Linked DNA regions of Coturnix japonica. The protein of the gene in region 1 interacts with the protein of each later gene in a pairwise test. Links are inferred from orthologs where the notes say so. Each region holds a gene or a part of one and is shown in the gene's direction. Other genes may lie near its edges.

Evidence for each region. The genes of interacting proteins can lie anywhere in the genome.
Region 2: the proteins of CDC73 (region 1) and HSF2BP interact in binary tests that used the Homo sapiens proteins (3 or more experiments, as listed by UniProt). The link is inferred for Coturnix japonica from reciprocal best matches to the Homo sapiens genes CDC73 and HSF2BP.

Annotation. Positions count from the first base shown.
Region 1 is NC_029523.1:3,289,146-3,292,645, reverse strand, and holds part of CDC73 (parafibromin), read left to right. Parts: intron 1-1,308; coding exon 1,309-1,450; intron 1,451-2,682; coding exon 2,683-2,719; 3' UTR 2,720-3,500.
Region 2 is NC_029516.1:99,108,087-99,111,586, reverse strand, and holds part of HSF2BP (heat shock factor 2-binding protein), read left to right. Parts: intron 1-512; coding exon 513-662; intron 663-3,500. UniProt on the Homo sapiens protein: Meiotic recombination factor component of recombination bridges involved in meiotic double-strand break repair.

The DNA of each region.
Region 1 (3,500 bases):
GTGATTACATATGTGTTTGAAGAGAGGAATAACCAGCTAGTATTTTAGTAAGGAAGTTTTACAAGTATGCTGTGGTGTCTTGACAAAAACTTGAATGTCTAATAAGATGTAGGTACTTCCAGTATGTGAATTATATGCTTCCACTGCGTAGATCTGAAGTTTTTTCTATTAGCACTGTTATGTATGTATGCTTTGGTATATGCAGTGCACTTACACTGCACAGTTCTCTCGTCTATTTGCAATGTGTACTGTAACATGAAAGGAACTGTAAGCCTCTGTTCTGCTATTTTTTAATTGTGAAGTTGCTTTAGAAAATAGGCCTTTTTTTCAGTGTGTGCTGTTTTCAGAACCTGCAGATTTAACAAACAAAAAACTCAAAATTCAGAAGAAAGGAAAAAAAAAAACAATAATTCAGTCTGTTATCTTTCAGTCAGTATGGTGAGGAGACATGTCCAGTCAGGTTTTGTGTGACACTGCCTCCAAGATTCAGTCCTCCGTGGGATTAGGTGCATGATTGTTTTTGAGAAGTTGCACACTGTGGGTGTTGGGACGTCAAAATAGATAGTGCAATTAATTGATTATCAGGAAGGGATTGCACAAGTCTCAAGTACTTTATGCTGAATCATGTCAAAATGATGATTTGGTCCAGAAAGCAAAAAGAAGGGCAAGAAAAATGTAAGACTCATCTTGCTAATGCTTGGCTTTACATAATTTGCATGAGACAAGCCTTCCCAAAAGGAAATGAACTGATAATGTTTTACTGTTATTAGCTTAGCATTAGATCAGAGGAAATTGGCATTTACTGACTTTCTCAGCATACTTCATGTGGCATTAAGGGGTTACACTGGCATTGACTTAAGCCTTCCAGTGGTGTCAGAAATCGCTTGCTTTTTTGTTGTTGTTTTTGGTTTTGTTATGGTGGGATTTCTTTGAAAGGTTTTGGGGGATTCCAGAATCTTCAGAAATAATATCCTGGCTTTCTAAAGAAAATACTCATGAATTGGCAATGAGTTTCCTACTGTTCTCCTGGGATTTATATATCTAGAAAGATAAAATTAGCCCTGAGAAAGAGATATAAATTAAAGATAAAACTGGCTATAAATAGGTCTTTTGCATAGAACTGTGGTGTGGTGTTAGTGCCAGGCAGAGATCACTGACCACTGTATTGAGTTCAATATTAAATAGCTGATTTTCTTGAGAAAGACTTGTTTATTTTATTCTGAAGTAGGGGGAGATTCTCTTTGAATAATAATTAAGCACTGTAAAGTCCTCTTGTTTGTGTGTCAAATGTTTTCTTGTTTCCTGTAGTTAAAGCTTTTCATCTCAAATATGATGAAGTACGCCTGGATCCAAATGTGCAGAAATGGGATGTAACAGTGTTAGAACTAAGCTACCACAAAAGACATTTGGACAGGCCAGTATTTCTACGCTTCTGGGAAACGTTAGACAGGTACGTTTCATGTTGAAAATCTCTTATGCTTGTGCTTTTGTGATGTTGAGTAGGAAGAATGAACTTAAGGTGACGAGTACCATATACAGCTTCAGTGGCATAACAATGCTTTAGGTGTTAAATATTTTTTTAGACTTCTTAACGTACATACCACTATATTTCCAGTATAAATTAGGAACAAGCCTCTTCAAAGGGTAATATGCATGGATGTCAAAGAAGGATGATTACTGATCATGGACTTAGAGTAGTGATTCCCCATATCCTTTTAGGCAGAGGCAAAGGAACAGAAAACATCACCCTACATATGGTGCAGTTTGCTGCTGTTCCCCCAGCCCTTCATTTGAACTGCAGTTGTGAGCTGTAGTTCTCCTCTTTCCTATCCCTACCTTACTAGATTACAGTCTTCTTGTAAAGGTGAGAAGCTACTGTCAAGATAATAGCCACAAAGCATAATCTTACTCTGATGCCTCTGAGTCCACAGCACCAGGTAGAAGACAAAGGTCAGAAAAGATATGACGTGCATTGAGTTTAGGTGTAGTGTTTTCACTTTGCATTTTTGGAACCTTCTGCTTACTTTAGCAACGCCTTGCACGAGAATTGAGGAATGGAAGTGCACCAGCAGCTCTGAAAAGTGGTGCTGTTTCTGCCTGCTTCTCTCTGGTTCTGAACCTTCTTTGAATACCAAGTTCATTGTAATATCTTTTTCATGTTGTGAAGAGAAACTTTTTATCATTAAGCAGTTGAAATATTGAAGGGAGAGACAAGTCCATGCATTTAATGAGCATTTAATCTTTTCATGTTGATTGCACGGCAAACTGCTTGAACGATTGAGTGGACTTCAAAAAGAAAAATCCTGTGGGAGTTGTCTAAATGATTCTGAGCATCAAACTTTCTGTGCCTTCTTATTTAAAAGTCTCAGCTCAACTATATATTCAGATTCTTAGAATGAACTTGAATGGGTTATCTTTAGCAACAGTTATCAAATGCTAGAATCCATGTGACAGAATGAATTTTCTTTGAAGCAGACGTTTTAGCTGACTGTCTTCTAATGGGGTAGATATTGTGTTTAATAGAGCTTGATGGATTATAAGGCATTTCATCTATTCAGCAACTAGCTAATGCCCTAAGAGTGGAGTTTTAACAAAGTCTGTTTATTGTTCCTGAGAGCACAATGTCTATTAATACCAAAAGAGTAGTCAACTTGTTTGTTGGGTTTTGTTTTTTTTTTTTAGGTACATGGTGAAGCACAAATCTCATTTGAGATTCTGAATCCTTCAGCTACCGTTCATTTCCTGGAGTGTGGATTGAGAACAATGAAAGAGACTCCAGTTTGGAGACCAGAGCTCGCACTATATGTTGTGTCAATAACTTTACAAATGAAGAAGGGTCACAGTTGAAACTTTTTATAAAATCTGGTTTGGATGCTTCCTGGCAGGTTGATACCTGTTGTTATTCAGAAGCAAAGGGGTTTTGCTTAAAACTATTTTTTTAATGTTGTTAGCCTTCTAGTCTGCAATTCAAATTGTATATTTTGATAGCAGCAGTTTCTTCTCTGTTTTGTTAAATTAGGCACATTTTTAAATAATGTGTTATGTTCCTTATTAGAAAATAGATTGATCTTCACTGCAGGTTACAGACGTGTGTGTGCCTGTGCGCATGTGCGCACGTGTGTGTATATATGTGTGTATGTGTCTATATATATAATGTATAAAAAAAATGATAGACACGCTAACGCACACATAGTTATTACTGAGGCTTTCTAAACCACTTAGCTTCTGAGCTTAGTTTTGGATTTCTTTGCTTATTGTTTCACTTACTGAAAATATTTTGTTGTGGATGAATTTACATTTTAGTCGATAGGACTTGCAAACTGAGAAAAGTGAAGATTGTTTTGGATATCAAAATGTCAACCTGTATATGTATATTCTGTCAGTCTTGGAAAAAGGGAAGATGAAAATGCTAGAAACTGACTTGGATTTGTGATGTCCCACTTTACTGAATCTTAAAACTTAAATACAAATACCTTCAGGTCACGGTAATTCTAAATCTC
Region 2 (3,500 bases), on another chromosome or scaffold:
GCTTTTCAGGAATATGCCAGTTGAAAGAAGTTGGAAGAACCAGGAAGGGATAGCCAACAGTTCTCCCATAGTAATGAAGGCAGCCCATTTTGAAAAACAAAAGAACCCTCCCTTCCTTTAAGATGTTCCTGGTATCTTTTGTGAAGTGGCTGGGAAGGCTGACTTCTGATGCTGAAATCTCTTCTCTCTCTGAGATACACAGCTATTTGCTTAGGATGAGTAGACTTTCTTATCAGACTTCTCTAGGTGCCGCTCAGTCTCGATGGGTCACTTGGCCTGCCCTTGTGGACAGGCTTCTGGTTACTGTCAGCTTAAGTGATATGTTTACTACTTGGATGGAGCTCAGGGGAGAAGGTTCATATTCAGTGCAGTGAATTTGCCCCCACCCCCCCATTCCCTCCCCACACACACCCTTCCATATATGTGACTGTGGCGTTTCTTATTGAATCCTGTAGTCTAGAAACATCTGGGCTGACTTGAAATGCAACCCAAATTTCTTTGTGTCATTTCAGGAGAAACTAGACCTCCGGCAGCACCTGCGTGAGGCCAAGCAGCAGCTCCTGCAGCAAGCAGAGTATTGCACAGAAATGGGTGCAGCTGTCTGCACCTTGTTGTGGGGTGTATCTAACAATGAGGAGGCTGTTAAAACCATTCTAGGAGGAGTAAGTATGGCAGGTGAATACTTACTGGTGGTAATGCTGGTAGATATTTAAAATAAGTACCTCGTTTTGTTACACGTTTTAACATAAGAATATATTTCAGAAATAAATTGGACAACAAAGATGTTTCCTGATGTGAATATTGTTTAGGAAACATCCATATTCTTAAAAGAAGAGCAGGACCATACCAGCAAACAACAAAACCCACACAAATACCCATCAACTGTAGACAGTGTTAATATTATAACTAGTATAATTTCACTGCAGCTGCTGGAATTAGGAGGAATCAAAAGAACAAGCCTGATAAAAATATGATTTTGGTCTTCTCAAAGCTGAAATGAGAGGGAGTTGTATTGAAGCTGAGTAAATCAATATCACACTTGCTTCTGGCTTTTCAGCAACATGATACCTTTCAGTGCTACCTTTTGGTCATTCAGTATCCAAAATACAAAAAGCTGATAGGTGGACAGGTACTACAAAGCTCACCCATAGCTATGAGACTGGTATAAAACCACATTCTGTATTTTCAGGATGGTTTATAACTGTAAGAGCAGATAATCATTTAGTGACCAGCCATTGTTATTTGACTTGTTAAATGATATTGAAAGGGCACACTTCCCACAACCAAAACACGAGCAGTACTGTGTATGACCACCTTCTACAAGATAAAAGTTAGTAGAAGCTTTGTTGAAAACAGTCTTAAAAAGAAAAATCAAATAGCGTTAAGTAAAAGGCTGAATTGATACACTGACTATTTGTGTTAAAAGCCTAACTATGAAGATGCAGTTCTGTTATTTCTAAGTTTATTTGAAATTCCTAGCAATCATTACAGCCCACTGCACTGCTGGTAAGGGTCATAGAAACATTTTTGGGCATAATTTTCTTGCAGCGGTGCACATAAAATGATAAGAAAGACTTGCAGCAAGGCTACTGTGAATTACATAAAGGGATTGCATGGCACTGTATCAACCACAGATTACAACTGGCAGTGAGTCAGGTTATTAAAAGAGGATGGAGAATTGTCATACAAAGTTTTTGGTTTGGGTTATTTTTGGACAGGCTGTGCAGCTTGTAGTACCTTCTCAGGGGAAGATGCTATGAACTACAGAAATGTATGAGTACATGAAGAGTGCTTTCAAACTATTGCTCATATTTAACTGTGTGGGGAAGGGTGGCATCAATTCAAAATAACTTTATGCCTTAGGGAACAATGCTCAGCTTTTTCAATCATTGCACGGATATAGAAGTAGTTCTTTTATATAGCTCTGTAATTTAGATTGACTGATACGATATTTGTGACTAATAAAGCATTCATGTCGATGCGTGTTGGGCAAGTCAAAACTTGAGCAGCAGATTTCAAGTGTAACATGAATAGCTTGCAAGGCAGTGGGAAAGAAGTGCCTAGTGTTTCTGCTGATGCTTAACATTTCCAGAAGGAACCTAGAGAAACATCCAGAGAAGCAGCGTGAGAGACAGTATTCAAGTACACCTGCATGTGCCAAGGACAAAGTACATTAACTTCCATGAGGTTGTTTTAGGTGTCTTTGAAAAAGCTTCAGATGGGTATTCACATCACAAGGCTCTAATGTGGTAACAGAAACTGAAGGTTTAATTTCAGAAGAACATCAAGGTTTACTTCAATATAAGACATTTTGGATACTACAAGGCGATCTGCTACTATATTTATCTGTGATGGTGAAAAACTGCTCTGTGTTTTCTGGCAGCACTTTTGTATGTTAACTGATGTTTTCATTGAGGAGTTACATGGAATGCAAAGGGCTCGCTGCACCATTTCAGCTCAAGCACTTTAATGGCTGCTCTCAGAGCTGTCCTTATCTCAGTGTCTGTGGGTGAGAGATTCTTCAGTTCCATGAAAACACTGTCAAGCTAATTAGAGGCTGCACAGAGTATGTCGTGTTCCCTATTTATAAACTTGACTGATCTCTGCTTCCTCATTTGAGACCTCACCACTAGTGAAATAATGGTTGTTTGGAAAGAAGGTTCAGCAGCAAGGACACCAGTGGCACCTCAAGGAACTGACTAATAGTTTTGCCTGGTTTCTGGTTTCCTTAGCATTCTTTTGGTACTACCCTTGCATAGCATTCTTGTATAAATACAGTTCTTTTTATAACAACTTACATTAGTCTGCAGTACTAAGTTTTCTTCCTTCGTTTTCTCTTGTATCCTTTATTGCTTAAACTACAGTCACTGCTTATGTTAAAATGACCATCTCTGAGGAACATTACCTGTACATGTATATAAAGTACATCTGGTGCAAGCAGAAGTGTACTTTTTTCCCCCTTTCTCTTTCCCTGTAACCCCTTCAATCCTATTCTGGGACTTCAGTTTCATATGTGAAGGAAGAGCATTGACTCACCCTGCTTTTTACACCTCCCTGTTGGAGTCACCCAAATGAACCATGCTGCATCCCTCCCAAAACATGTAATCGATGGAGAAATAAATGAATGGTATTGGTGGGTTTGAAGTATTGTGAAGATGGTAATTGTGATAAAATACTGAATATTTCAGTCACTTTGCAAAACAAGTAGGAGTTCAGCAATGTCACAAAGTGATGGGAATTGTAGGCACTTTCTTGAGCTGTTTGGCTCTTCTTCTGGGTTGCTGCAGGATGTGACGAGGTTTCAGTTCTCATGAAATGACTTGCAAAGTTATTAAGCACACCAGGAAACCTGCGCTTTCTGTTATGCTATTTTGATCGAAAAAACAGAATCCTCTGTGGGAAATAGTGCTTCAGCAGTGTTTTACAGGTCAGCATTTATTAATAAGAAGCAGCCGTTCTTTTAGTTGCTCTCTGCGGGTTCTGCCTGCACCTCTGACCAT